Astyanax mexicanus: one gene and its partner. The protein of the gene in region 2 purifies or fractionates together with the protein of the main gene of each other region. This does not show direct contact. Links are inferred from orthologs where the notes say so. Each region holds a gene or a part of one and is shown on either strand. Other genes may lie near its edges.

What was found.
Region 1: the proteins of fndc3a (region 2) and tent5c purify together in Homo sapiens (affinity purification with western blotting; 3 studies listed by BioGRID, with this or other methods). This does not show direct contact. The link is inferred for Astyanax mexicanus from reciprocal best matches to the Homo sapiens genes FNDC3A and TENT5C.

What each region holds. Positions count from the first base shown.
Region 1 is NC_064418.1:25,924,262-25,940,872, forward strand, and holds tent5c (terminal nucleotidyltransferase 5C), read right to left. Parts: upstream 8,180-16,611; 5' UTR 7,738-8,179; intron 5,617-7,737; 5' UTR 5,586-5,616; coding exon 4,425-5,585; 3' UTR 451-4,424; downstream 1-450. UniProt on the Homo sapiens protein: Catalyzes the transfer of one adenosine molecule from an ATP to an mRNA poly(A) tail bearing a 3'-OH terminal group and enhances mRNA stability and gene expression.
Region 2 is NC_064425.1:22,181,816-22,198,297, forward strand, and holds the start of fndc3a (fibronectin type-III domain-containing protein 3a), read right to left. Parts: upstream 8,535-16,482; 5' UTR 8,054-8,534; intron 1-8,053. UniProt on the Homo sapiens protein: Mediates spermatid-Sertoli adhesion during spermatogenesis.

The DNA of each region.
Region 1 (16,611 bases), on a different chromosome or scaffold from region 2:
CTTTAGGAAGGACTGTTAATGTTCTGATGAGGCACAATCAGGAACGAATTGTTCCAGGAACATTACAACTTATTCAAGGGCTTGAAACCAGTGACTACAATTACCATTTACCTAAAAACCCCTGCCTTTACTTACTGACATTAAAGCAAAAAGATAGTAAGGTAATACGCAACTGACTCCAAGCTATTTGGGCTATGCTACACAAACATGCCAGAAGTCATGAGATAGCAGTATGTAAAGTCACCATGAAGTACTACCTCAGGGGATTGCTTGAGAACAACCACATCTGTTTAAGATGTGAAGTGTTTTTTGAGCAAAGTCAAACACTTAAGGTTTACACACTAAAGCAAATGGGAATACAAGCCACTGAAAATAGGCATTCTTTAAAACGTGAATGGGAAGGTAAATACGTTTTCACTGGCATAAAATAAAACCAACAGGCAACAAACATGGGGTTCAATACTTTATTTCTTTCCCCTCTTCATATAACACATTTTCCCGATGTTCAGTTCCATCCAAAGGAAAATTAAAGTGAGGTAAAAGTGCTGAGGAAACAAAAAAAAAAAGGAAAGAAAAGAAAAGAAATAAAAAAAAAAATAAAAAAAAAATCAAAGAAACATCTTCATAGTCCTCAAAAATCACCAAGCTGACAAGTAAGCTCTTTCCAATGAAATTCAAAAGAATATATAGTGCAACACTTCCATATTTTAACCTTTTCAACTCACAATCAATGGCATCGTCAGACAAACAGCAGATAAGAAACAAAATAAAATGTAAACAGCATCTACTGCAAATCTCACCAATTCTCCCGCACCGTAGAATTTGAGCTCCTAAAAAGAAAAATAAAGGCCTTTGCACTTTAGACCCTTGTCCAAACCCAGAAAAACATGAAACAAATACATTTATGCATTCATAGCTCTAGTAGTGCAACATATAAGCAAAGCTCAAAAACATCTTCATCCAGAGACAGGAAAAATAAGGGAAATGTCAGAATTGGGATTTTTCTGGAATTATAGCTGGGGAGAACAAAAAAAAAAAAAGGGAGAAAAAAAAAAAACACACAACTATGAACACAACTCTGAATGCATCGGTTTCAAACGTCCCCCTATTTACAAGAAACCTATTGCTTGCTCTGTGTCAGATCAAACCATTCATGTTCGGCACGGTCACGGTCTTAACTGTGGTCCTGTAGCACCCTTTGTCCTCACCAATTTAGGGCTTTTTAATTACTGATTGATTATTAGTTGGACAACATTTGTAGGACCTGTGTAGAGGCAACCCATGACCAGAGTTGAGAATGACGGGTTTAGGAGCCAATCACGAGCAGATCAATAGGAGCTACAGCAGGACTGATCTACAGATCACATTTGTTCACATCAGTGGTCTTAATCCTCACATCCTACATATTTTTTAAGTGGTGGTGGTTTAAAATATTGACACAGAACCAAGACCACTAATGGGGAACTGACAGCCAAAGAAACTCAGACACATAGAAAGAAGCAAAGCAGACAACAATGCAGCACAGGCAGGAGATGACATTTACATAATACATACTCTCCTCTGAAAACACATCCTGGGACACACACACACACACGCGCGCACACACACGGACACACACGGACACACACACACGGACACGGACACACACACACACACAAACGGGGCAGGACCAATTAGGGTATAAGCCACAGTTTAAAGATACATGAATCCCACAAACATGTCCCATCTCCCTGAGATCCCTCCTCTGCCTCGTCCCGGCCTCATTTAGAGCTTATATTTATGCTTCCACAGCTACCTGGGTTAGTAAGATTTAAAGTGCATCTGTTTACTGGGGGTGTTTGAGTCAGTCATTCATCCTCATATGGCAAAAACTGCTCAGTGCTCTATGCTCTGCTTTGGTGGTGTGGTGGAGTGGGAGGTAACGAGGGTGTTAAACACACACAGCCTCAAACAAGCAACAATTACTGGAATGACTAGACAACTAGGTTTGAGAAAAGTTGGGTAGCAGTATTGCAGCGTTTAGGCTGTTCACAGACAACAAGAAAAACTAAGGTGGCACTTTTCACATTACACCAAAAAGAACTAGATCCATAAGGTCACTTGTTCTAATCCCATTCAAATTCCATTTGCACGTTTTTGGGAAATGTAACAAATTTAAGAAACAAAAAAAAAGAAAAAAATACAAAATGTGGTAATTCAGTCAATGCTCATATTCCATAGACTCAAAACAGACTGCCACAAACTCAGTAAGGCACTTGTGTTTTGTTGCTGGTTCAAACACTGGTCCACAGTCTAAATTTCTACACACAAAACAATAACTGATAGCCAGACAAGAAGGGGGAAAAAAAGAAGCAAAAAGCAGGACAAACTCTGGTTCAAACTGCTCTGACCTAGGGGTGTGACCGGGGCCTGCAGCAGAGGCTACTGTGACCCACCCCCTCCTCCCTCCCAAAGTCTGTGTGTGAAGCAGATAAGAGGCCAAGTCCAGCTCTTCAGGTTATCAGAGCGTGTGCTAGTGTGCCTGTGCATGCTGAACCGGCAGCAGCTGTGTGTGCACGCTCTTGCAGAGAGAAGAGAAAGAGGGGGGGGGGGGGGGGGAAGCCAGAGCCTTGGTATGGGCTATCGGGGCAGCTGTTAGCTGTAGCCATTACGTAAGGGCAGCCAGAGGGATCTCCAGCATTTCTCTCACCTTTATGTGCCGAGTAAGCTAATGAGGGCAGAAGAAGGCCTTTCAGGCAGGCAGTGGAATCCTGGGACAATACCTGGGTCTACCCACATTGTACAGATTAACAATTTAGGCCATTTAATATGATCTGGCATGATTATCGATCTAAGATGTGACAGGAGTAGCTCTAAATCATAATGCAAGTGTGATAAAGACATGCTGACGCTGTGTGTGAAACATAAACCACAGCATTAACAGTGGTCAGTAAAAAGCAGTCCAGAATTGGAACGAAGTAGTGTTTCCATGAACATGACCATGCTCAGCTCTTCTTTTACTTTTGACCAGACAAGGGTGCCCCACTGCTGAGCATACTAACCCCTCACACGAGGTGGAACACCACATACGCATATTCCCACCCTCATTCCCCCAACCCGTGCTCCTCACTGGATAAATATAGAGCAGTGTGACACCAGCGTGGAGTCTCGTTACACAGCGAGCGATGCAAAGCCTGCTAAGGATCGTGATAGACTCAAGAGGACTGGACACCCACAGCCTTACCCTTTTAAGGAAAGGGACAACCTTGCTCACTCTTTCTGTCTCCCTCACTAACTCACTCACACCCTCTCTCTCTCATGCTTTCATTTAGAACCGACTTCCTGCATAGGGCAGTCATTCAAAAAGGTAGCAGACCTACCCCTTGCTGCAGCTGACATAGCCAAAACCCTCCCTCATGTTACACTATTCATTTCAAACTTGTCTGAAACCATGCTCTTGCCATGTTCAGTGACTACACTGTGACCCGGGCTATACAGCAACTACACAAACTACGCATGATTGAATAAGCTTACAGATAGCAGCTGTACAGCGCCGAAAGCATGTAATACCCAGAACACTAAAAATACCCAGTAAAGGAGGAGTTAGACTGAAGCACACTGCAAATGCCATACTCACAACGCTTTCACACCTGTAACCATCAGAACAGAAGCATGAAGATCCCTTCACCCCACTAGAACTAATGATTAGCTGAGAGCAACAGGAAAAGATAAAAATGCACATAAAGGCAAAGGCTTTTAAACATATCAGCAGCTCACCAGTAGTGGTTAAAAAAAGGGGGGAGGGAATGAAAGAGGGGAGACATCACATACTAAACACAACACACCCAAAAAAAAACCCTCCTCATAGCATATTGGAATTTGCTGTTTAGGCCTGTGCTCGTTTTTTTTTTCTCCCCAAAAGCCTTTTGTATTTTTTTTTCCAATTTACATTTAATAGTTTTTAAACTTTTTTCATAGATTTTTTTTTCCATTTTCATTTTATCGCAAGAAATATATCAAACACTGTTCCTCAAACTTTTTTTTTCCCCTGAAGATTTTATATTTTGTATATTTTCTTTTTCCATCTGTGTTAGGGAAGCATTAAGGCACATAAGATTTTAGGCCTGAACTACTCCATTTAGAGACACAAATATAAGCTACAAACCAAATTTAAAGGATACCCATCAGTATATATAAATGTAATCTAAGCACTAAAAATATAATCACTTTGGATCCAAAGGTCTCAACCCTTCTGCAGATAAGAAATAAGCTCCCCCCAAAAAAAAAGAAAAAAAAAAAAAGGAACAGGAAAAACACAAAAAGCAAATAGTCCTTTTAAATATGTATATTATGCTTGCAGGGGAAAATGGCACATATGGCCTAATGGCCACTCTTTATATTTAATTTTCTTCCCCCTGACAACGAAACATCTACTTTTGAATGTCTTAGTTGCACGGCAGCCATGTTGGAATGGACTGGTTACATGAGGCCACATAATAGTTACTGAAGTTCAAGTCTCTGACATAAGGCGCAGGCTGGTAGTAGCAGGTGACACTGGATGCATCTGGTATGGCATTCTGTTCTGCCAGCACCCGGAACGCTGTGAGTGAGATGAGGTTGAGAGTCTGCCTCCTTTCGTGTCCCATGAGGCACACTGTGCTCTCGTTCACGACTCGCCGCAGGATCATGAGGTAGTCATACTTGCTCTTCTCTTCGCCCACAAAATGACTCTGCAGGTAGGCCTCAAGTTTCCTCTGCTGCTCACCGATGTCGGGGAAGTCAATGAAAAACCGAGAGCACATGTAACGCTCCAGAGCTTTAAACTCCTCCTCATCCGTGGGCCTGAAGTCCCTTACCAGGAGGTTACAATATTTCAGCAACCCACCCCCACGGATCTCCTCTGGCCTTTTGGTGGCGATCATCTTGTTCTTGAGGTGGTCAAGAGCAACAGCGAAGTCACCATACACACTTTCCCCAAGCACAGTGGGATGGAAATGCTGAGACATGGGGGTTTCTGAGAAGTCATAATATGAGAGCAGTGAGTCCAGAATAATCTGGAAGGAGTCCACGCTGAACTCGAACTGCCTGCGGATCGAGTCCACGAACTTGAGCTCCACATTACGGCCGTTGTTGTTGGAAAGGGAGATGAGGGACCAGCGGTCCTGCTCGGTGTAAACTTTCACAAGTTTCTGCACATAAGCCTCCTTTAGGGTCATGGGTGTGATTTTCTCCTTGTTCACCCCCTCTGGCAGGAAGTCCAACAAAGTGCCCAGCACCACATCTTTGATGAGCTGGAACTGTGCTTCCTGGGGGAGGTCCACTCGGAAAATGATGTCTAGATCTTTGTAGCACCAACCGATGTCTTTCACCAGGACGTGGCTGGCTGTAGAGCCATTCAAGCGGATGTCTTTGACCTGAATGCCCCTCTGCTCCAGGCGGTTACGCACCATCTGCACAATGTCCTTCAGCCGGACCTCCAGTGTGGGAAAGTTGCCTCGGCCATGGACCGGCACCGCCTCGGTCAGCACCTCGTTCAGGCGGCTCACCTGGTCCCAGGTGAGTACGCTGTAAGACTCGCTCTCGCTGCTGGATGAAGCTTCAGCCATGTTTGCCTTCCTTGAGGTTCCTTCAGACAAACTGCAACAAATAAATAAAAATCAATAAAATACTTTTAATAAATTATAAATTAAAAAAAATCATGCTAAACAACTTGCACTACATTTTAACATTTAAATTTGAAGCACCACAGCATTTCAAAATAAGAGTGTTTAAAAAAGGCAAGAGGGAAAAAAAAAAAAAAAAAAAAAAAAGAAATTTAAACCATTTAAAATTAAATATTCAAATGTATAAACCTAAAACAACGAAAAAAAATAATTAACTGCCTGGAAGGAAATCAACCAAACCAGTGAGCCCTAAACTACATACTTATCATTTATATTCATTTAAAAAAAAATTACATTTAAAAGCACCAAGGCACTTCAAAATAAAAGTACATTCTATAAAAGGCACAATAAAATAACTAATAATATCATCAATATTAAACTAATTATTAAATACACAAAACTGTAGGGTAAACCTAAAGCACAAAAAATTAAAAAGAAAGAGCTGGAAGGAAAATGAACGGGTTTCTACCAAACGCCTCCACAACACACCAATGAGCTCTGACGTTTATCAGGACTGCATACTTTTAGATACACCATATCTAGACGGATTACAAGCAAAAAGCAGGTTGGACAACACTCTCAGTCACGGTGATAAAAGTGTTGCCTTTGGACCACAGCACCAGAAAATCAGTGAAAAGAAAAGCCCACAGTAACTCCCCCACTTTCCAGAAAGACACAGCAGCTTTCAGCAACAATCGAGAAGACTCAGCAGCGCCGCGAACGCGAACACACACGCAGGAGAGCACTGCTGTTTACAGCCCATCCAAACCAGGACGGAAAAAACACGAATAAACGAAAAACGAAATCTATATCAATCATAAATTACATGGCACATCTACTTTCAATACAATAAGGCATACTAGTGTGTCATAAATAAGTGTCCATGTGCAGAAAATACACTTCTTTAAATATGTGTCCGTTTATATTCTTACAGTCTTCTAACTTTTAGGTTAAAATAATCATGATAAAAGCAGTGGTTCTCATCTCTTTTGGTTTTGCGTGCTTCCTTGCTATAAAATACCTAATGAAATGTCCTCCCAAAAAGTATATCAATTAAAATGCCATAGAACAGTGGTTCTCAAACTGTGGTAGGTGTACCACTGGTGGTACACATAATTTAAGGGTGGTAACTTTACACCAGATGAAAAAAATTGAAACGTAACGAGTTTTGACCTCTAATTTACAGAATATCAGGTGTTTTGGTGTTTACTGTTTAACCTGGTAGCTTACACTTTAGTTCTTTATTGTTTCAAAGCCCTACATATGAACACCATTCATAATAGTTTCTGTTTTAATAATAATTGTAAAATAATTAACTTAGGATTCAAAGGGGTGCCATGTAGAATGTGTAGTCCACTTTTCTGCCTCACACTCCTGTTATTTCCCTCGGTCTTAAGCTTTCCGACATGTTTCAGTAGGTATATTGAATTTACGTGAAATAATTAAGAATTTGTGGAACACTGCCTAAAAAGTTTGAGAACCACTGCCATAGAAGGTTAACTAACCTTCCAAAGAACTCACTAGCATTTGCGAGCAAAACAACTCCATACAATGAGTTAAATGCCCTGTGAGAACAGCGAGCAGCACATGCACTCTGGCTCTACAGAGACAACACCAAACCACTTTACAGGCTGGCTTCATGTCCAAACCTGACAGGAATAGTTCTAATTCAGCAGCGGCCATCACTAACTTAACCCATCTACCTACCCTGATTCAGCACGACTGAAACAGGCAGCAGCTCAGTGAACTAACTTTAACTAAAACCAGGCCAACTTTAACCAAAGTTTACCCCAAAAACCTTAGCTAAAACTTTCAATCAGCCTGACACAAACACCCTACACTTAAAACCACTCTGCTAAAAATCCAGCGGATCATTCAGAGAAAACCTATTCATAAACAAATAACTAGTTAACGAGCTAGCCTCCCAGCAAAGCCTAAGCTTTTTTTTTTTTCTCTGGATGGCCAGCCGGTCTTGCCCTGGCTCTTTCAGCAGGGCAACACCACGCCACGAGCTTTAGACAAGGTTTAGTGACCTAGGTTAACGAAGTTATATTAAATGTATCAGTATAAAAATATACAGATGTAGTTCTCAAACCTGCTGTAAACACGTGAATCCTCGCAAAGTCCTCAACCCAGTAAGTTAAGTACACAGCACCACACGGTCGTCAGCTAGCTAAGGTTCAGTATCCAGCCCTCCATCCGTTCATCCATCCACTCGCGTGCTCGCTGCTCTACAGAGAGACTCCTGCGCTTCTGGCCTGAAGAGCTGCACCGCCTTCTTTTAAGCCGAAGAGTTCACTGGGTAAAAATATAACCACACACCCACCGCCCTCCACCGCGCCGCCGCACTACATTTCTCTATACACGTGCTGCTGCTGCTGCAGTAGTAGTGCGTGCTGCACTCCAGCCGTATTCGCTGATTAAACCAGGATTAAGGTTAGATCGTGTGTATGTGTAAATCAGTGATATTTGCTACGCACTGCTCGCACTAACTACAGCGCTTTCTCCGCGCACTTTAAAAAACTAACAAGACTTCATATCAATGCGCGCAGCGGCCTCCTGATTGGCCGGGCAGGTTTTTGGCGTTGCCCGGTAACCATGCGCGCAGGTCGTGCTTCACAGTTTTTTAACCTGGTAGTTTCGTGATTTCAGTGGATTTTCATGATTAATTATTAGAGTTAATACGGATATTTTATTCCCAGCGGTACTCTTAATAGATAATATATAATATATGCTATTTACATTCACTTACTAACTAATCTTTTTATGGCGTTTAATTAGCAAACTTTCCACATTTCCCATCTCAGATCTGCCCTCAGTCCGTCACTGTGGTAAATATAGCTGCTGTGAGTGAGTCACTCTACTACACCCGAGCTGTTTAAACACGCAGCGACTGGTGAGATACATTACGCGCTAAAATGTGCCAAACTGTATTTCCAGTTTACTTTTTTAAATTAAAATTTCCTTGAGAACACTATATAAGATAAAACACCATTTTCTAAAGAGTAAATTAAAGTATGTAATTTTACAATATTTGTATTGTAATATCATTTTCCAAAATATATTGTCCAGCATGACATGTGCTTTAAATTATTGTAAAAAAAAAACAACAACACACACATATATATCTAAATAAAAATAAGAGACCACTTCAGGTTTTGAATCAGTTTCTCTGATTTTGCTATTTATAGGCATACCTGTCAAGTTTTAGATTTAAGAATAAGGGATATTTTCCTCTGTACTCCTAAAACCGTCCCACCAGCCCAACGAAGGTTCAGTATCCCTTACATTTTAAGACAGGTTTACAAAAAATCTAAAATAACCACAAGTGAACCACTTACACACTACAATTAGATTATCAGAATCTGAAATGTTGTGGACATTCCTACATATGTCATTCTTTTAATACAGCCAAATTAAATACCCTTTTCTATATATTAAAAAAAAAAAAAAGATTTCATGTCTTTTTGTAATAAATGCACTCTTTTATATGATATATTTTTTATTTATTTAATGGATTTAAAATTGAACAAAGAGTGCACAAATTCTGCAAAATGACTGTAGGTTAACTAAAAATAGTATCATGAGCTTTTACTAAAAGGACATGGACCAGATATGTTCCATCAGTAAAATGAGTCCTAAGGGGCCTACAAAATAATTTTTAATGAATACTTCTTTCTTTTGATCACTCCACCCCTGATCAGTTCAGTTAATTTCGGTCCTCTCCACATTTCTAGTTCTAGAGTCACAAGCTGTATTTTTTTCTAAAGTCACAAGCTGTATTTTTAAGCAGCTATCAGAAAAATCTCATCACAGTTTACATGATTAGCCTACCGTTACCTTTCTTTTAGAAAAATTGCTGTATATCCATGTATGTTTTAACATCAGCTGCTCTAACTAGCTGCCTGAACTCACAGCGACGGGGGGCTTTCCCACACTGACCCTCCTTTGCAAGCTGATTGGCTGTTTCTCCTGAAAGGCGGGACTTTCTCCTTGAACCGGCTCCACGATTGGTTAAGAGAGCGGTCAGTGCCCTGTCTCCTCAATAATATATATTTTTTTATTTTAGTATAATACGGGAAATTTACGGGAAAATACTAATACGGGAGGACGGCGGGAAAGAGGAGTAAAATCCGGTAGTTTCCCGGCCAAAACGGGAGACTTGACAGGTATGTTTATAGGTAAAGTTATATGTTTGAGTAAATGGAACTTTGTTGTTTTATTCTATAAACTACAGACAACATTGTTTCAAAATTCCAAACAAAAATATTTTAAATTTAGAGAATTTATTTGCAGAAAATGAGAAATAGCTGAAATTACAGAGCTTTCAGACCTAAAATAATGCAATTCATAGTCCTGGTTTTTAATCACAGTTTTCATGCATCTTAGCATGTTCTCCTTCACCAGTCTTGTACACTGCTTTTGGATAACTTTATGCCACCCCTGGAGCAAAAATTCAAGCAGTTCAGTTTGGTTTGATGGCTTATGATAAAAAAAAAAAATAAATAAATAAAATAAATAAATAAAAGTTCAAAAAGCGGTTTCTCTGATTTTACTATTTATAGGTATACATTTGAGTAAAATGTCATTGTGGTTTTCCATATGCGCCCCTCTATTGTTTTGATGTCTTTAATAATCTAAAATGTAGAAATAAAATAAATAAAGAAATATAGAAAAAAATCATTCAATGAAAAGGTGTGTGTATATATATGGCAACTAAAGCAACAATATGTCCTAATATTGCGAAAGTATAGACAGCTCACTGCTACATATTATTAGCATAAAGCTAAGCCTCCTGCTTTAGGATCCTGTGTGAGTAGGCAGAATTTCTAACATATCAAACAGTCCTAATGTACTGTTGTTTTAAAAGATATTACAAAGAGGAAATTACATCATGTAATTCCACAGAACAGATGATCCATTGTTTATTTGTGGCGTTTTTCATGTTATACAGGATCCATCCAGCTTAATCCAGCCACCATGTCATATGTAAACTGTTATTAAAATTATGTACACTGCGTGTTCTTAGTAAAATAATAAAAAAAAATGAAATATGAAAATAGCATCCATAATGAGTTTAGTGTGTTTTTATAAATTACTCTAAATTAGAGTAGATTAATAGAATAGATGTATATGTATATTTACACACTCAACAGGGGTTTGATTTACACCTTATATGCCACGTCCCAGATCAATCTATAAATGAAGAGTTGCATTGTGCTGCTTATTTAATGTAAACTACCATGACACTGATCTACAAAACATTCTAGTAGCCAAGTAGATTTATTTTGAATTCATAATAGTATATTGCCAGTGCTTTTCAGTCTTGACCTTTGTGACCTAATAACAGTCCTCTCCTGATTAAAACCACATATTTCTGCAGGACAGTGGTACCCCAGGACTAGAATCTTCCATCAGTATCTGTTGTGTCCATGATTTTACCTGATTTCTAAATTAGTATAGCTGACAAAGCCCAGCACTGAACACCAAAAGAACACACCGTTCAGTTTGTCCTTCAGTAGTTGTAATAAAGTATCTTTACTATTATTTATACTTGTTCAGTACAGAATAACAATGGGTCATGTTACAAAGTCTCTGGGGCAGAGAAGTTAAGGGCCATATTCAAGGGGCAAACAGTGGGAGCTTAGTGGTTAGTGGACACGGGTATTAAACCCATAACCCACAGGGTTCATTATCAGTATCTCAGCATATAAACCACTAAGCCACAAGTGCAGTAGCAGAGGGGTCTGTACGAGTTAGTGAATGAACTGAGAAATATGACGTTCTTTAATGCAGTTTCTGTACATAACTGGGTCTAGTTGATAGGAATTCTCCTCACTCTTAGATGTAGTTGACCTAATTTCGTCTACCTCCCTCTTTCTGTTTCTCACAGGAAGCAAGTGGTTTCTTTCAGTGTTGCTGAGAAGAGCAGATAGACATCTGAAGAAAAGGAAAGGGGGCTTTGAGAAAGAAAAGAGCAATCATTGGAATGTCCCTGTGTCTTCAGTTGTGCTGACTACTGTGTCTACTAACGTTCTCCGTTCTACTTCCGTTTTAGGGGTAATCCCTGGGTCGCCCCCATACTAACTCTGCCTCCCACTCTCTATCTCTCGCTCTCCACCCACAGTTTCACAGCTCACTGCAGAGGAACTAGAAACACAGTGGCTGCGAACTATGTGAACTATACACGAATACTAGAAGGTGCATTACTGTACACTAACTTTAATAGATGCACATTATGTAAATACTGTAGGTCACTGCAAGTTCTATTTTGTTTCTAATATTGTTCCAGATATGAGTAGCCAATGAGTAGCTATTGATGTAGTAGTGTCTTGTGTCCACACACTTAAAAACTAAATGATTCTTATTGTGGATTTTTGAATTTACATAAATTGGGATGCATCCAAGGGCAATTTTCCAGACAAAGATTAAGCTTAAGCCCTATTCTGACAGGGGTCCTGGGGTAATTTTCTTTTTTATGGGGGGTCCGCTGTGATTTTATTCCTGTCCGGAACGACCATGTATGTGTTTTTCTCAAACGTCTTCTTGAGAAAATTAGGGGTTGAGTTACCTACTGTTTTTCACTGAACTCCTCCGGAAAAATAGATATTTGTCCACTACTACGCACTTAAACACAACAGCGAGTGGAAATGGAGGAGCTTCTGAACGCGATGTCATGTGATTGATAAAGTAAAAAGAAATTCTGGTCCTGTTTTTTCAATTGCAGTCTGGATGCAAGAATTTTAGAGTGAAAGAGTTGCTGATTGGATCATAAATTGCCACAGCAACTTAGCTGTAAGGTGGAGGATCTTGTTAGAGTAGAGTATATCTAATGGACCCTACAGTATGTATAACCCCAGTTGTTTGGTGCAGGATTTATTATCTTCCTGTATTACAGGGGTCGGCAAAAGGTGGCTCATGAAACATCTGGCCCGTAAGGTTGTTGGAATTATAATGAACAATAAATACAAAATGAAAAAATGAAACAAAAAAAAAATAAAATGCTTCTCTGGCGAGCCTATGTTTACATTCCTCCCTTATCTCTCTGTTTTGCTCTCAGCGTGACTTTAGTTTCCACCTGTTCTCGTTTTTCCACCCGTTTTTGGGCTTTCTATCTCCTTATAAGGGCACTTTTTTCCCCAGTCGTGTCCCAATTTACTAGCCAGGGCAGCAGTAGTGTATTGGACCGCGATCCTGACGACACAGGTTATTTATTTCCTTGTTTCTTGGATTTGCCTGCCTTGAATTCAACTGTTCTGCAATTGGGTTCAGAAACCCTCTGGGCTGGAGAGCTACTAGTCTGTAGTACTCCATCCCATTACACTTCATTTTGCAAAACATTTGTTTTTTTGTGGCTTGAAAAATAGCTGGCCCGCGGCAAAAATTCATGGCCGATTCCTGCTGTGTTATGTTACTTACACATTTTGTACTAAGAAAGTGATTGAGTTTCGTATTGTAAGTCACTGCAAGTTCTCCTAGTGCTGACGCTGCTGTACTTTAATTTTATCTGTTAAAGTTATCTGTCATTTTTAATCCTTAACTTTTCTAGACATCACTTGCCCCTGTCTTTTGATGTTGCACTGCATTGTGGAATGTAACAACCAACCAATTCTGTGTATGCATCTTGGATATTTGAGTATAGTACTCAACCTTAAACATATATCTGTACTACATACTCAAAAATTATTCAGTATGAACAATTAATATGCAATTGTTGTGTTGGGGGAGGAAGCTGTTACAGAACTGCATGGCTATGAGACATAAAAAATATCCAAGTTAAACCAATCACAGGCAAATGTGGATAAATATTCAGGTGTTTTTTTTTTAATCAAATCTAGGTGCAACACGTCTAGCAGATTTTGATAATTGATCATAAAGTCATTGAGTATTATACTCTATGGCCTACATACGTGTTACAAACATGTAGAGGCTAATTTGTTGCAAAAGCCAGGCAGCGACACTGTCTTGTCAGACAGGAGCTAACAGCGATAGGAACAGCATGGAAGTTTGTTCCTGTGTTATTTGTGCAAATAACACATCAGTGTTCTATGATTTGCCCAGTAATTCTGAGCTAAGGAATTGTCTGTGGAATGTCTGTGGAAAACCAAAGTACAATTGAGATATTATATAAATAATTATATAAACCTCTGAACTTTCTGTATTTATTTAGATCATCTGTAAATGCTAGCTGCTTTTTACACTATGTCAATATTTGAAGATGTAGGGACCACCAGAAATGTGTCCCAAAACAGCTTTTTCTCATGAAACTGAAAAACACCCCTGCTTTTCCTGTTAACTTACCATTATGAAGATACAAAGTTTTGTTCTGTCAGGGATGGTTTCTACAGGCCACGTGTGAGCTTGATCCAATTCAGTCCCCGCAGGCCATACTGACTTACTTCCTCACAAAGAGCAGGTCAGTGGATTTCTACTGTCATTACGGAAAGCCCGTTTTAATTAGTGCAAGTTCTGAGTAAGAGGACAAGTCATTTTCTGACCTCAAAACTAGACGATATCCAGGTGCAGGGGAAACTGAAGACGCTTTCACACTGAAAGAGCAAAAGCTCTGAGTCATGCACGCAGTATATTGCTGCACAAAGCACCAGATAAACGTGCTGTCACCAGAGATGCCTGTCTGTGAAGATGACATATTGTTGGAGGTGACATTAATAAAGTCTTATCATGAAGGAGGAAAAAAAGTCATAAAGAAATGAGAGGAGAGCATTTTCCCTCCAATTATGACATTACATTGGCAAACACTGGTGACATCATCATTACTTCCCCTTTTGGGGAACAAAAAAGAGAGCGAGAGAAATGAGTCATCACACAGGACGTCCTCCGACAGTTATACCTCATCATAAATGTATTGATTCAAAAATCTTCCTGTGAACAAAGACGTTACGTTATATTACAGTTTTAGCATTCAAAATAATCTCAGAGGAGTGAAAAAATTATTTTTTGTGCATCCCTCAGTTTGCCTTACCACATCACCACAATTAAAAAACAGGTATTCAAGTGAGTAAAACACTTGGGTGAGTAGTCCTTCTCAGTAATAGGGGGAAAAAAAACTTTTTTAAACACTTTAAACACTTAACATTCCTCCATATACATATACATACATAGACACATTGGACAGATGTAAATCCAGATGTGTAGTGAAGTAAAGTGCAGGGTGCAGAGTGGGTTAGTGTGGGGTGAATTAGCCAATCAGAGGCGATATGTTTGCATGCATGAGCAAGAGCCGAAATCCTCTCGTTTCTCCCCGCACACTCCCCCACTGGACTAAAGCAGTGCGATACCCGATCACCTGAGCACTTTTTTTCACAAAAAAAAACCCGATTCACATGGCATTTATTCATATTAGAGACCACAACTAGACATTTTATGAAAAAATGATGGAATGATGCCTTTAAGTGGTTGACGCCAATAATATAAATATTAATTCATTTCACAATTTTACATTCATTCTCTAAATTACATTTACACATGCATTATTAAACGCATAAGTCTTGTAAGAAAGACCAGTGCGATTAATCACAATTAATGTCAGAATATTGTTGTGATTAATCTGGTAAAACCAATAGCATCTAAAAGAGCTTAAGACATTTTCAAGAATTCAAACTGTTTGCCACTTGACTGATACCAATCATTGCAGTCCTATTGATCTATTGATCAGTCATCTGTGTTCCAGCATCAGATATGTTTTTGTTTTGTTTGGTGATGCTCAGATCTCTTGATTAGGACAAAAGCCACTGAGCTAAAGCATGACCAGCCATAGACCTATGAACTTTAACAAGCAGTCTGGAGCACAGATGCACAAAACAGAATAAACGAACATCAAGAGCACACTGAAGGGAGGAGAGAGAGAGAGAGAGAGAGAGTGAGAGAGAGAATGAAAGCAGACCAAACCATGGTTTGTCCAAAGGTGAAGATTTTAATTCTCAGGAGGAGCTGTGCCACCTGCTGCAGCTGGGCTCTCGGCCAAGTGGAAGTGAGTCACTGTCCATACTACGGATGGTTAACCAGCAACCATTAACACATTAAACACACACTGGAGGAGACATACGCACATGGACTCACACACAAACACACACACACACACACAGAGGCCATTAACACATTAAACACTCCACTACATTTGCAGATGTCCACGCAAAACCATGTTTCTTTTCTTCCCCCTCTTTCCACCCTGTGACTCACAGCCGCATATATTCATAACCCGCCTACCCTCCGTGACCTCAGAGACTCAGAGACGCAGGGACGGCTGGGCCATACCAGTTATCAGTTAGCACCGTCCTCACTGCAGAAACATCACATCATCTCCTGGACAGGCTGGACGGAATGTAGGCCTCGGGGTTTTGACTACACGGAACACGAGCACATGAGCATTAAAAGACATTAGGACACTTGGGGCCCTCTATTGACGTCCCTCGCTGAGGTCAAATTAAGCATGTCAACAGAGTAAATGGCATCTTAATGGTTCTGACTTGGCACAACAAACAGGATTATGACAGAGTGTGATAAAGATAGAAATGCATTAAAAAGAAAGAGAGGAAAAAAGCGCAACAATAGCACAGAAACAAGGTCAGGAAAGGTAAATGGCACTGGGTTAAATGCAGCAATTCTTAGTAATCATTACTATTATTACTATTGTCACTGAGACTAGAAGCAAGAAAGAATCATTCTCCGCTCAACACAGCTGTAAATAAAGCTGCTGTAATGTAACGGGTACACTACATACAGTGGTATAAAAAAAAGTTTGGGTACCCCTGATAATTTTCAGGATTTTCCTTTATAAATCATTGGTTGTTCTGATCAGCAATTTCAGTTAAATATAATATATAGCAGATAAACACAGTGGTACTTAACAAGTGAAATAAAGTTTATAGGATTTACAGAAAGTGTGCAATAATTCTGGGTACCCAACAGAAAAAGTTAAATCAATATTTAGTAAATCCTCCTTTTGTAG
Region 2 (16,482 bases):
CAGGAAGAAAGTCACCGGGAAAGAAATGAAAGAATATATATAAGATTATGGTCAAGTGTTACAAAGTACAGAGAGTGGCAATGGTCAACAGCGTGTATGTACTGTGTACCTGTGTTTGTATACTGCTGCAAAATTGCTAACAGAACTGAGCTGCTTCAAAGTATAGCGTGAGCACTGCATTCAGTCCTGAAATACAGCAGCTTTAGCCCACCCAGACTGGGACTGCTGGCATTTTTTTCAGGGGGGAAAACACTCTGTACTGGTAAGTACGTACATGTGTATGATTTCAAACCAGGAATATTTAACATCATCATTTTTTTTCCCCAGCCACAAAAAAATTAAAAATACTATGGCAACTATAGAGCTACTTTTGATTTGATTAGATGTTTCATTGGGGAAAACCCATGTTCTGTTTTGGACTGCCCAAGGCTTCATTCTGTTCCTTTATTCTGAATTCCATGCATTTTTGCTTTCCTCACAGTGTTTTCTGTCAGCCAACCTTTTATTTTCAATCTCCAGACTATTTTAGTAATAACTCTGAATTATCATTCTGCAACCTTTGACTCAATGTTTTGTAGGACTGCAACGATTAGTCAATATAACTGAAAATTGTGATTATTTAAATTTGTCGATTACAAATTTTATTGTCGACTAATTGTTAATTCGTAACAGGACCGCATTCCACAAAGTTCTATACAGGCTCACTCACACAGTTTACACTCAACTTGGTCTGTTTTCTAAAACTGCCAGATTAGATAATAGTATCTACTCACTAAATATCTGTACTCTCCATGTTTAAACAGCATCTGGACATTTAAATGCCTTTTAAATCTCATGTTTAGCTGTTTTTCTGTTGTTTTTAGAGATGGAGGACATGGAAGAAATAATCGTTGACAAATTGGAAAAATTATTATCAGATTAGTCGACTATCAAAATAATCATTAGATGCAGCCCTACTGTTTTGTCAGTTATCACATCCACACAATGTAATTTACAGTTTCAACTAAACTTACATTCTAGAAATCTCATCAGCCATGACAATCAATACCAGTCGTTCAAATGACAAAGAAAAACTACCAAAAACTCCCCCTAAAAATGTCTCTTAATTACTTAGAATAAATTATTATTCTCCTTTGGTTCTTCTTTCTGTGCAAGTGTGAAATAATCAGGAATACCCCATATCCACTCACCAAACATTACAGTCACAGGTTTTACTCAGACAGGATTAGTTAGTTAGTTTCATGTGAAGTTGGGGAAATGTAATTATTAACAAAGTTTTCATTGATTTTAGTCATGTTTGAATACACAGTTTTCACATGTCATAGGTCAGACGTTTTCACTGTGCACACCCATGTCAGTAAATATTCTGACGCCTTTTACCTTCTGTAAAACAAGACCACTTCAGTTTCTGAATCAGTTTCTCTGATTTTGCTATTTTTAGGTTTATGTTTGAGTAAAATAACATTGTTGTTTTATTCTATAAACTACGGACAACATTTCTCCCAAATTCCAAATAAAATTGTAATTTAGAGCATTTATTTGCAGAAAATGAGAAATATCTGAAATTTCAGACCTCAAATAATGCAAAGAAAAACAAATTCATATTCCTAAAGTTTTAAGAGTTCAGAAATCAATCTTTGGTGGAATAACCCTGGTTTTTAATCACAGTTTTCATGCATCTTGGCATGTTCTCCTCCACCAGTCTTTCACACTGCTTTTGGATAACTTTATACCACTCCTAGTGCAAAATTTCAAGTAGTTCACGCTTGGAAAAGTTTGTAATTCCAAAGCGAGTAAAAATAACACAAAATTAGTGTTTAGTTATTAGTGACAAAGTAAACCCAGTAGTAATCAAAGCCTTAATTTAAAGTCTTAATGTGTAAAATTGTATATACTCCTAACAGTAAAGAAAGTCACAAACCTATATAAAAGCCCATTCATGTACAAAAAATAAAAATAAATAAATAAGATAAAATAAAAATACCATGATATACCCTAAAACTGTCAGAAACTTGAAAAATACCGTGATATATATTTTTGGTCACACCGTCCAGCACTAATCCCTAGTGAAATCTCACAGCTCTCTATTTTCTGCATGTAGTTAATATGTTTGTTTTACAGGTTAGGATGCAGGAATAAAACCGAATACATCCAATTACCACCACTGATGAAACCCCGTGCACTTCCTTGATCTGATTCAACACTGCAAAGAAAATGGAAAGAAACACTGTAACTGGGCTAATGGGTCCACCCAGGCGCAGAACGGTATGGCCCGGCCTTAGTTACCATCTGGCCCTGCAGTAGAAAATAAGCCAAAGCGAGACAGACGAAGAAAAGAATATGAGAAGGAAACAAAAATTGACCATCTATAAGCTCAAAAGTCAAATATATTATTTTATGGTCTACAAAAATCCCATTCCTTACGTTTCCCCCATTTAGCCAAGACTAATTCCACTTAATATACACAGAGAGATCTGTGCCGAAGGGGCTCTGCTCCAAACGGCACAGCAATATCTTATAAGTCCAGAAAAGACTCCTTTATGAGATATAGCCTAACCATTTAAAACTTTGATTTACTAAGATATGCCTCAGCAGTATTTTTTTTTTTTTTACCATGGAATCTAAGGAAGCCTAACAATTCTGCGCTATTAACAGATTTCGTTTTTTTGTCTGAACATCTTTAGATTTCGGTTTCAGTGATTAAATCTTGGGCGCTTTTCCGTTTTGCAGTACTTGGTTTCAGTAGCTTTTTCAGTCATTTTGTTTTGTACATCTGGCCCATATCACATCCCCGAAAAGAGAACATCCTCTCAGTTTCTGCGGTTTTTACACATTGAACCAGAGTAGTCTGAATATATACATAACGCATTGTTGAACCGGACATTTTTGGCTCTACACCAGTGGGCCTCATACAACTCACACAGGACTTCTTTTATTAATCAAATTTTTACAAAGTAAATATAGCAGAACCTTAAAAAAGTCTGGTACATCTTTTTGTCTTCTGTACTCTATTTACGAAATCTCTTTAATTTAAAAAAAAAATTTCTCTTCTTCCTGTCTGCTTTTGCTCTCTTTATATTTTGGTCTGCAACCATGACAGAAGAGCTCTGACTGACTGGCTTGTTTTTAACCCATCCTATATAATGCAGAGAAAGAGCAGCCTCTAATCAAAACATGTACACAGCATTGCAGTCAGTTTCAGACTTTGGTGTGAAGAAAATAATTTATATATGTGAAGATAACAAAACTGTATATAGCTCCTTCTTAGAGGAATATTAAACAATACTACTTTAACTTCTCTGATGTGTAATTGTGTAATTTACATGTATAAGTAATATGGTAAATTTCAATGATTTTCAAATTGTTCTTTAGATTTACTCTGATAGTACTCAGGCAAACTCATACTAAATGGGCCAAAAGAAAATATAACTGTCAGTTTAGGAGCATGTCGAGAAACACAAGGCTATGATGAATAGGCTGTTACCACCTCCACCACCATGACATTACATAATTTAAAACAGTCCACACTTGCAGTCTGTGATGCTCAGTTGCGTCATATCAGCCCAAATTCTGCAGTACTAGGCCAGCTCATACTTCACAGCCATTTCAGGTTACAAACAGTCCTTCAGATAAACTGCAGGAAACGGCACTAAACCAATCTCTAACACACATACCACAATGTGAACCATTTTTACAGGTTTTTAATATAGTATACTGTTTTAGCAATTAATAGCCACATAAGTTATGTCATGGAAATACAAGTTAAAGGTCTCCTTTCACTAAAATTTTTAGGTCTCTTCTTGTTGTATATGCATGCTGCACATGAAACGGTTCTTTAACCCCATTGTCTGCATTAGCTAAGAAAAGAAAATACTCAGAAAAAAACGACTGGATCAGAAAAAGCAACAACTCGCCCAACTTGGCACGGGATCGCCCACAGAGCTGAACCTGGGCTGCAGCAGTGCAGACACAGTCTCATCAGCTAAAGAGCTTACAGCTCTGTTTACACCAGCTTGTTAATGTTAGCTATCTTGTGTAACTAACTATAAGTTTACATCGGATCTCCGGTGGATTCCGCATTTTACTGAGACCTTAAATGTACACTAGGAAAGCACGGTTTGACAATGCCGCAGGGAGAGCAGCGCCACTGAGCAGTACGACCAGCAGTCGCCACTCACCCCGCGGCCGAGTGCCGCTGCCTACACCTCAGGCGAGCTACGCTGCTCACCCCGCGGCCAAGCGACGCAGAGAATCTGATGTTAAGTTAAGTTTAGGACTTCATTTTTCCTAGCACTCAGTGCTATATCTTCACAACTAAGGCTGTATCTCTGAAAACATTTTTATCCTTGGAGTTTTAGAGCTGTAAAATTGACAGTGGGGCTTTTTCTGCTGCAGTGCTGTTAGCCATTTAGAGGCGATATAAGCAAGAGCCGAAATCCTGTCTTTCTTCAGAGACCACTAATCCAGTGAACTAAAGCAGGGTTATACAGAAACACCGGAGCAATTTTTTTCACAAAAAAAAAAACGGCTGACATGGCATTCGTTCATAAAAGAGATCACAAATAGACATTTTAATATGAACAAAAAAAACAATGGAATGAGATGGAAATACTTAAAGTATTTCCAGGTCAGCTATGATTTAAGATTCCTAGATCAAGATTACAAAAGACAATCTCTATTTTGTGTGTTAAATGTTGAATTACACACACTACACTGATTTGTATAGGATGCACAGAGATGCTTAGTTTTGATTACAGGCAATAGTTGCCTTGATTGAGCAGATTGACCGGAGGGCTCTATAAATGTTCATACACTATACTGAAACTTTGCTGAAACTGCAGATGCAACAACACAGAGGGTAGAACGATCCAGAAGTGTATTATGTACACATGCTAAAAAACTATATATTAATAAAATACAAAGTCTGGTGCAGTACTGCTTAAACATGAGCTCTTCTGGATTCAATACATCAAATATTTGATTCAAACTTAAGTTAAATCTAAATATCTTATCAACAGTAATTTCTGAAAGTAAATGCAGACATTATTCCCATGTTTTGCATCCCTATTTGAAACTGTTGCACCAGGTATTGATTTTGACTAAACACTAAATGATAGACAACAAAGTATGTCTACACAGGAGGCTAGAAGCTAGTAACTTAGCATTGCATATAAAACCAGCCCAAGCTGCCGTTCGCTCTTCCCATTCCTAGTTAGCCTGACTTTTCATCAAGAGCTCAAGCCCCAACAAATCACATCAGCACAGGCCCATGCGAGGTTGGGCATCATTAATCTCACTTCTGCAGACGTGGCGGCGCAAGTGAAGTTCTCATCACTATTTGGCAACAGGCCAAATCTCGGCCTACTGATATAGAGGAGGATTAAATGCAACCTAATCTGCTGTGGAAACACAAAAGCTTGCTACTCTACACACAATGTGCACCCTCAAAAGAAACAAATGGACACTGTGTTGGTTAGAGCACAAGTATGTGACAAAACGGTGAGGCATTACACCGGCAATGCAGACGGACACAAAGGCCTGCAATGTCTACAGCAGGGATCACCAATTCTAGAAGGTCAAAGACTAACATAGTTTGGTGATTGTCCTGCTCAAATACCAGATTTAACCTGTGAGTTAATTACCAGTTTCAGTAGGTGTGCTTGAGAAAAGAAATCACCAGACTGACAAATCAATAACCTCTGGTCTACAGCATGATTCACTCCTCTTGGAAAGATCTAAACAGTGACACCAACAGAAATTGCTAAAGCTCCTCCAGTAAAACTGCTTTGAAACACTGACGTTAATTTCGGCCTCACTTTTTCAACTGATGCTTACTTGTGTAGATTAAATATATAATCATTATATATTATGACCACAAAGGAAGACAAATGCAGTAGCTGTTATGTCTGAAACATGAACAAAACAATATATTTTTTTAAACTAGGGATCTAACAAAATAAAAAAAATAAATTAAATGAAGGCTTTCAAACCTTTGCAAAAATGACAAAGCCTGAAAGTATTTTTGTCATGTTTTCCAAAGAAAATGTCATTGTTCAGTATAAATATTTCACCTTCTTTTTATTAATCAACAGAAAAATTGTGGTCGTTGAACAAATTTGATCAAACATAAGACGAGTTTAAGAACTTTTGCAACAGCAAGCAACAGGTTACTGTGTGAGTCGATTAGCTAATGTATTGGTTTGCAATGTTTTTATTGTTGACACAATGTAAACAAGCTAATGTAGACTTTTTATAACTCTGTCACTGCTGGATGCATTAGCAAAACTAAGTCTGTGACCCTGAAAAGGCCTACTGCCTTTGGAAAATGTAATACATAAATGGAGCTACTACTTTACAGATCCTGAGAACATGCTGCTCAGTTCAACAGATAACATAGCTTAGCTTAGCAACTCAATCAGGAGAAAATTAGCCAGCTCAGCATCCGTCTTGTAGTCCTTCTGGGTTTTAAGTTGCCCCCATTATCAAACACACAGTCAATACACATTTTCATTTTACTCTAATCAAGGAGTTTTTTGAATGATCTAATGTTGTTACTGCTCATCAAGTTGGCTTTCAAGTTGGCATCAAGTTAAATTCCACACCTGGCAACCCGGAGGGTGCAGAAATAGGATAGGGGAATGGGGCAGTGGGCAGGATTAAAGGCCACAACACAGATTTTCGCTCCATAATGGAAGATTCACAGAAGAACATCAAACTGGCTGAAACCCTGTTTATGAAGAGATGCTAGTGCTCAAACCTGGCTAACAGGTTTCTGTAGTATCTGGAGTTTGTACAGAAAATATATTAGCTAATACTTATTGCTCCTTTAAAATGTGCTGTATAATCAGTTGAATTAGCTATGTAGAGTAGTTAGTGCAGAACTATTCACACACAGACAGAGGGAGCAAAGTGCCCATCTGGTGTTTTTTTATACCCACACTTAGCTAGGCTAGCTATCTTGGCTATTCAACAGGCTGACTCTTACATCCCCCCCTTCAAAAATGTAGGGATGTGAATCAAACTGAAATAATTATAGCTTATTTTAAAGCTTAGAGCCTTAGACAACTATCAACATGTTACAGCCAGTTATCTAGCGTTAGCTAACAAAGTGCAACAGTGCAAGCTCACAGATAACGTTGACGTGTGCATTACAGGTTTCCTTTAGTTCAGACAGCTAAGCTACCACATTCTCACCTGATAAAAGTGATTTAGCTAGCTAGCTAGCTGGCTAAATATACTGACAGCTATGCCAAATCATGTCTTAAGAGCATCTACTAATAACCTCCTCTTCCAGATTGCTCGTTTAAAATTTAAAAAGAGTGGAAGAAGAAGAAGTACTGTATACTTTTTATGGTTAAAACGTTTTTTAGCTTTTGTGGTTATATATTTTTCTGGTTCTTATATTAATCAGCCAATACTTTATAAACTAATGTTTGTTGTTTTTATTTTTATCCAGCTATTACTTAACTGGTTTCCATGTTTATCTTTACACGTTACTAAGCTACTTTTGCACTTTGAAGCATTTTAAGCATTTATTTGTCTTTTATTTGATGGGTTATTGCTGTTTTCTTTCTGATGTCACTCTTAAGTTATAAATAACTTTATTAATTCATTTTGCTTTAAACTTGCTTAGCTAAACTGCCTGTTTATTTGTTTTCTGTTTGTTTTCTGATGTCTTAGGTTTGCTGATGTTTTGTTCACTTTGCATTTGAAGGTGCTAGTTATTTGCTGGTCTATTGTAGCTATTATTATTACTGTTATTATAACCACAGTAAAGCTGAATTACTATGCCATGTTAGCCAACTTACTAGTTAGCTAAATAACTATATGTCAGGTAACGTTAGGTATATAAGTTAGCTGCCTGCATGCACGGTAGCTAGTAAGCTAATTTACCTTATTTAAAATCAGTATCATGCAGAAATTGGGCTATGTGCTCACAGCAATTTGCAGTGCGTGTAAACATACGAGCTAATGTTTGTTAGTTATTTAAAGCTAGTTAGCTGCTAGCTAAGCTAGCTACCTTTAATGGCAAAGTAACAAGTCAACTACTCACTCACCGCAGTTGTTCCTCGTCCTGCTTCTTCAGCTACAGATAAAAGCATTAAATGGAGGCAGTATTCACAGAAATATGCTTATATCCCAGTGGTCTTCCAAGCAGGCACCGCTGAGAAACCTAGCTAGTTAGCCAGCAGAAGCGCTAACAAGCCAGCCAGTCAGTCCACTAGCTAACCTAGCTGTGTGGCTAAATATAAGCTACGTGGCTCGCTGCTGTTAGCTAAACCCCCGCGGTACAAAATTACTACTGGCTGCTAGCTGATAGCTCCCCGAGCTTCAACACTGCAGAAATCCCCCGATATAACATCGTCCGCTCGCTTATCCGAGCAGAAACGGCCGGGCTTTAACCGAACAGCGCGTCCTCTCCTGAATACACCGATCTTTCCCAACTGTTCTGCTCACTTTTCACTCTCAGCCTCCATCTGATCGTAAGCTGGGCTCTTTAACCATTTGGACAACCGCCATCATTTTCTCGCTCAAGAATGTACACAATCTCGCCGCGCATGCGCAAAGCGGGGAGAAAAACAGACGGTACTCATTCTTTACCTGATTTTGGGATTTTCTCCTAGTCTGGTAAAATAATCTAGTTAAAGAAGCCACCTAAAATTATAATAAAAACAGCATATATATATATATATATATATATATATATATATATATATATATATATATATATATATATATATATATATATATATATATATATTTGCAATATTAAGTCAGTAAAAAAACTAAACTTTAAATAACCACTTATAATCGGCTACTGGAGCCCTGAGACAGCACAATTGGCCTTGCTCTCTCTGTGTGGGTAGATGGCGCTCTCTCCCCACATCATTCCCAATGGCGATGTCGATCAGCACAAAGCGTCTGTGAGCTGATGTATCTGAAATGAGTTACTTCGCTTTCCTCTGAGCGCGCTGTGATGCTTCTCAGCAATGCTGCATCAGCAGCAGTTCAAAAAGAGGTGATCTCTGACTTCACATGTGTCGGAGGAGGCATGTGCTAGTCTTCACCCTCCTGGTGTTGGGACATCACTAGTGATAGGGGAGTCCTAATGAGTGGGTTGCGTAATTAGCCGTATAAATTGGGGAGAAAATAAAAAAATAAATAAATAACCACTTAGGCTACGTTCATATTACGTTCATATTTTTTTTGTTGCCCAGATCAGATATGACGGTTTACAGTCACAAATGTAAGTGACCTGTATCTCTGTGTAATGTGAACAAATCTGTCTCTGAAACGCCTCACATGCGCACATACCTGTATAAACGTCGCTGTCTTCACAAACAATAAAAAGTGTCATATTTGAGAGAAGACTCGTAGCTTTATAAAAGAAAATGCATGCAATAGCAGCTCATATGTGTAGCATCTTTGCTCGAGTGGAGAGCAAACAGCTGGTCTGAAGTACATGCTCAGGTCGAGGAGGTGAAAAAAGCCCAGGCAGCTTGCTTTTGCTGTTTTGCAGCTATAGCTGCTCAGCTGCACCAAGAGATGTGTGGGTACGAGAGAGAAGCACGTAGCGCATGCATAAAAGCAAAAGACGCATGAATTCCGATTTGACCGCTTACATTCATGTTGTATGTCCATGGATCAGATATGTAATGTGCCTACAGGTCAGTGAATCACAGACATGAATGCAAGCAGTACATATTTAATGTACATTATATATTCATTTGACTTTTCCCTGAAACACCTGCTGTAAATTAAGACCAGCATTGCATTTTATATTTGGTCACGCTGGTCATTCTGGCCAAAGGGAATGGCCTTGCAAGTTGAGTAACTTGGTGATACTGGTGATGCTGGTCAAACAGTGTGGTCATGCTGGTGGTCTAGCTTGATGTGGTTGATCATGCTTGTAGACCATCAAACTCAAACAAAAACATACCCTATTCTGGTCAAGAGCTACTATGGTCAACAAGCTAACCCAGCTTTACCAGGTTGATCTGACCATACCGATTATTTCAGCAAGGCACATATGATTTTACGATTCCACTTAAGCAAATGTTTAGTTTATATTATACTTTATTTAAGCTTTCCATAAAAATTAATCTGCTCTAAGCAACTTAACCTTTATAATAATGATAATGCAATTTAACTTTTAAATAAAAGAGGAAATGTCCCTTAACAAGTCTGCTTATGTTGAAATTTGGAAGTTGCTTGTTTTAAATCTGCCAACAACTGCAAAAAAAGATACAAAAAGTGACACCAGTGTCTGATACACAAACCTGTGCAAAGGTCAGAAGGACTCTTTATTTGTTTAATTTCCGGTCAAAGTGGCCATTAAGTGCAGGTTATTCATTATTAGGTATTTCTTAGAAAATTACATAATCTGCTTACACAAGGTTAAAATAAAACAATAAAAAAAACAGAGTTTCCAAAAAAGGATTAAAATACAGAGAATTGGAACTGTAAACTATATTGTGCAAGATCTGGCAGACCACTGTTCCCATCAGATAAACAGCACTAAAAGCTATTAGAACAAAGAAAAATGAAGCTCCACTCTTGCTTTAGATCTGAAAATGAAACCACATGTGATTCTGTCCATCCCACCACTGTGAGAAAATGCCTCAACACTGCAGGTGTGAAAGGATGTGAAGTGGATAAAGATGTTCTTACTGAGAAAAGAAAAGATAAAAAAAGAAGAAATCAAACAAAGAAGCTGCTGCTGTTCTCAGAAAATGGACTGACAACTCTAGAGTCCACACATCAATATCTTTTAGTGTGCCTGAAATGACTCGGAAGGTGAGAAGCAGATAATTCTCCAATTTTTTTAAAACTAAACTTTGTAGATGTGGAAAAATCTCTCTACAGACTATTGCAGGCAATCAAACAAATCAACTGATAAAATTAAAATATTGTAATGATACTGACTTTGATATTATTATTTAGGTTTAGATGTTCTACTCCAATTTTCTGCTTAATACATGAGTTTATATTAGACTGCATAAATCTAAACAAAAGCATTTGATAACATGCCATTAATGATGTATGTCAGTATTATCTAGCTCTGAATAATTGCATACTGGTTTATTACTATCATTATTATTATTATTAGAAATGGCATTTGACTGTTGTTACCCCACAAAATAAAAAACTCCCTTGAACACTTTTCTTTAATAGATGAGACGTATTCATGTCAACGTTAAGCTCAACAAGACAATGCAAAACCACATGCTGCACACAATACAAAGGCATGGCTGGATTTTGCTATTTATAGGTATATGTATGAGTAACAATGAACATTGTTGTTTTATTGTATAAAATACAGACATAATTTCTCCCAAATTCCAAAATAAAAATAGTTCAGGAATCAATATTGGGTGGAATAACCCTGGTTTTTAATCATAGTTTTCAGGCACGTTCTCCTCCACCAGTCTTACACACTGCTTTTGGATAACTTTATGCCACTGGTGCAAAAAATCAAGCAGTTCAGCTTGGTTTGATGGCTCATCCATCTTCCTCTTGATTATATTCCAGAGGTTTTCAAGTTGGTAACATCAAGGAAAAACATCATAATTATGTCACAATTATATCATAGTCTTTTATTTTTTTCCAGAGTATGTGAAGAACAATCTAATAAACATTCAGCAATAATAAGAGTGTAATTATACAAAATAACACCCAAAACACTTTACCATTCTAACTTTTTTTGCAGGCCTGAAATGCAGGAATAGATGTATATGACAAAAATAAGATTAGTTTGAATAGGCAATATCTTGGGTTTATAATGTCTACAATGTAGTAGTCAAAGTAAATGTCAAAGTAAATGTAAGAAACACTGCATTTATTAGGGCCCGAGCACCGAAGGCGCAGGCGAAGCCTGCACCGGAGGTGCAAAGCCCTATTGTTTTTGGTCCGTTTATTATTATTATTATTTATTATTTTTAAACTTTGCGCCCATTTTTGAGGCCTTTCCAATACACGAAAACTCAGGCATTTTTGCACAGGCCTCAAACTCGGCGAAAATTTTAAAGTTCCATAGAGGCTGGACTTTGGCGTGGTTCAGGAGCTCTATAGCGCCCCCAAACGTCGACATTGGCCAAGATAAAGTTTGTCCAATGTGCACCAACTTTGGTATGCTCATTGACCTCCTCATACATAACAAGAATCACTTGTTTAATCGGACTCTGCCAAACAGGAAGTCAGCCATTTTGGCAGGAAGTCGCAAAATAAAAAGTTTCCCGCTGGGTTTTGGGGGGGTTATGATGTTCAAAAACTCATAAAACTTCACAGGCATACTTGGCTTAGGGTGACATTTGAAATAAAATTAAAACCTTTTTTGTATGTCATCTATAGAATGCTCGAAAATTTTGACAATTGGCAGACTCAGTAATGCTTTCAAATCATTTCGAAAAATGTAATCGTTTTTCGAATAAGTAGCTAGATGACTCTACAGCGCCCCCTATTTGGTTTAGGCTAATAAATTAGCTGTAGCTGTCTCAAAATTTCTCCAATGTTCTCGATTTTTGGTACAAGCATAGATACTACGATGCCACACATAATACCCATTGGCATGTATTAGCTCCGCCCAACAGGAAGTCGGCCATATTGAAAAATAAGACATTTTTACACATTTCAGTCTTCGTCAGATTACCTCTAAATTGGGTCTGGATATGCTCCAGACATACTAAATACTAAATTGCGAAGGAATAGTTGATAGCTGAAACGATGATGTAATGGCGGGCAATTGATTTAATGGAGACGCAACACTAAACCAAATAGAAACACGAACATGGTCAGAACACAGCTGCTTCGAAATTCATGAAACTTGGCAAAAACATAAAAGACATCATTACACACGTTTTCAGGGTTGATATGATTGACTCCGCCCAACAGGAAGTTGGCCATTTTGAAAAACGTGCATTTTACACACATTTTTTGCATACTTTGTCGAACTCCTCCTAGGGAACTTGTCGAATACTTTTGATATTTGTCAGCAATAAACTACTGACACCTGATGATAAATTGCGAAGGGATAGTCGATATCTTAAACGAGAACGAAATGGCGGACAGTTGAATTGCTTGAGATGCCCCATTAATACAGGAAGTGAATACATCTTGGTGTTGGTAAGTGTTTGGGGAGGTTGCAATGGATGAAAACTTACAAAACCTTACAGGACTGCTTGACTTATGCTCTCCTTTGATCTGGAATTGAAATTTCATATATACGTATTTCATTGGATCTATAGCTCCACCTAGCTTTCAATGCATAGTTTACATTACGGGAATGCTCAAAATCTCAAAAAAAAATTGGCCGCTACAATATAACTGTACATTTCGTGAGAAATCACATATGGGTCCAACTTTCACCAGCTTCTTGGTTTGGCCCGGTACGATTTGCGCTGATATGCGAGGGCCCTACGTCCCCCTGTGACAGAGGGACAACTCGTTAGGGCCCGAGCACCGAAGGCGCAGGCGAAGCCTGCACCGGAGGTGCAAAGCCCTATTGTTTTTGGTCCGTTTATTATTATTACGCTTCTTGACCCTTTCGCCCATTTTTGAGGCATTTCCGATACTGGAAAACTCACGCATTGTGGCACAGGCCTCAAACTTGGCGAAAATTTAAAAGTTCCACAGAGCTTGGACTTTGGTGTGGTTCAGGAGCTCTATAGCGCCCCCAAACGTCGGCAGTGGCCGGGATGAAGTTTGTCCAATGTGCACCAATTTTGGTACACTCATTGACCTCCTCATAAAGAACAAGGATCACTTGGATTTATTTGACTCCGCCCAACAGGAAGTCGGCCATTTTGACAGGAAGTCGCAAAAAAAAAGTTTCCGGCTGGTTTTCGGAGGGGTTAAGATTATTGAAAACTCCTAAAATTTTACAGACCTATTTGGCTTAGGCCATACTTTGACCTTAAATTGAAATTTTGTATATTCGTGTGTCATCAGCTCTCTAGCGCCACCTATTTCGTATGACATTTTTGGAAAGCGCTCAGCCTCTTGACAATTGGCAGATTCAATAAGGCCTCGAAATGATTTAAATATATATTGTCATTTTTGTTGTGTGTAGCTAGATGTCTCTACAGCGCCCCCTATTTGGTTGGGCTAATAAATTAGCCGTGGCCTTCTCAAAAATTCTCAGATATTCTCGATTTTTGGCAGAAACATAGACAATATGATTCCGCACATATTAGCAATCGGCACATTTTTCACGAACTCATTCGAACTCCTCCAAGAGTTTTCGTCACATTACCTCTAAATTGTCTGTGGATAGGCTCCAGACATACTTGGTGATAAATTGCGAAGGAATAGTCGATAGCTGAAATGACGACGTAACAGCGGGCAATTAATTTAATGGAGACGCAACACTAGCCCAAATAGAAACATTAGCATGGTCAGAACACAGGTGTTTGAAAAATCATGAAACTTTACAGAAACATAATAGACATCATTACACACATTGTCACCATTGGTATGATTGACTCCGCCCAACAGGAAGTTGGCCATTTTGAAATATGTGCATTTTACAACAACTCGTTTGATCTGTTTTTCTGATTTTGGAGTTGAAAATAATAATCATAATAGATGGAAAAAGTCATTTGAATGTAAAAGTATTTGCTGCGGCCGCCAGAAACAGTAGGCTTGCAAAGCCATAAAAAATCTGATAATGTTTCCCCAACATAGCTGAAAAAAACATTTCTACAACAGAGATCACAATGTATGCTTTTATAGTTAAGAGGCGTATTACAGAGTCAGGCCAGCAGGGGGAACTGCAAGTAAATACTTTGAGAGAAGAGCATTTATAAATCTGTACAGTAATTCCACTACCAGCACAGACACTGTGCCTCCTGGACATGTGAAATTGCTTTAATTAAATTTAGAAAATGCTGTAGCTATCATTAAATTGCTGCCCAAACATTACCAAGCAGCATATTGGAAATTACACTTCTTATTGCTTTTTGTATGATCCAGTAAATGAGAAACTTTGATGAAAATCTGCTAAAAAAAAAAGAGCAATCACAAACATGATGATGCCACATAATAGGACTACATTTTTTTATTGATTTTTGTTTTTAAGTTTCACTCAGACATACTCAACATGGACAAAAGTATTAGGGCAACAGCTCATTTATTGCTTTATCCAAAATCAAGAGTTTTAAAAAAAGATTTTGTCCGGTTTTGTTGGCGTTCCAATGAATACTAGATATAGCACCCTCATTCCTGAGAACATATGTTTAAGACATGTATTCAGGAATAATGGGCAAAATAACCCCCTAAAACAGTAATTACTTGGTAATTCTAAGTGGTAAAACGTCTTTTAAGTGTTTTATAGAAATACTGGGCAACATTATAAGTGTTAGAATTTTTTTTTAATGTTTTTGCAGGCCTGAAATGCAGGATTGGATGTATATTAACAAATGAAATGAAGGTGTCCAGATTAAACATTAAATACATTTTGTAATAAAACTGCAATAAAACAGTCAATGTCAATGTTAGAAAGGAGTTTATCGGTTGGTATTTTAAATGCTCTGTGGTTTGAATGTTTTAATTGAAGCAAGCTTCAAATATTACCTATAAATATTACATTTTAACTATGAAGGTTTTTAAATTTTTTACTCTATGTAACATTAAACAGTCCTTTAAACCCTGATTGTAGGCCCATACATTATTACTATCGGTATTATAATTTACAACAGACCCTATGTGTGGCAGCACCAGCAAATATTTTTTAATGAGCCCCAACACATTGGTGCATACCATAGCCCCTAATTTGTAACGTTTAAATCTTTAGAACATTATAATACATGTAGTTCTTTTAGTTGTGCTTCTTATTTAACACACTTCAGTCAGCATTTACAGAGGTCTTTGTTCTTGCCTGGTCTGTTTAATGTGTTTCATATCATACATGTGTGTCTCGCCACAGCAAATTCCTTGTATATATAATAAACGTTTTGAATAAAAGTGATTCTTTTCACACTGCAATGGTGATAAGGAAACTATTTACTGTGCAGTACCCCAGTTTCCTCTGAATTTACAGCAGATGAGAATATCAATGGATGAAGAGTTGAATATTTAATTTATTTAGAAAAAGTAGGACAACCAGTTTCCCATTAAATGTGTCCTTCCGCTAAAAGTGTCCTTCTGAGTTGTTTATGCATGCTGCACAACCTCTATTTTCTGCAGTAGCTAGGTAAAGAAAATATTCAGAAAAACGAGTCGATCAGGAAAAGCAACACAGAGGTGGATTTTTACTTTCTGGATCTGGACTACCGACCTCTGTGTGTTTACATAGGATCTCCGGTGGATTTTGTGTTTTACAGAGACTCTAAGACTAGGTCTAGAGTCTAGGACTAAGACTAGCAGGGCATCACACATGTTGTAAAGAAACACATGCCATTGCAAAGACTGCTATTAGTGTAAAAATGTCTTTATTTTACATTGTTTCTAACTGTTGTTCATCTCACAGCCTCGCAGTGCTGTTAG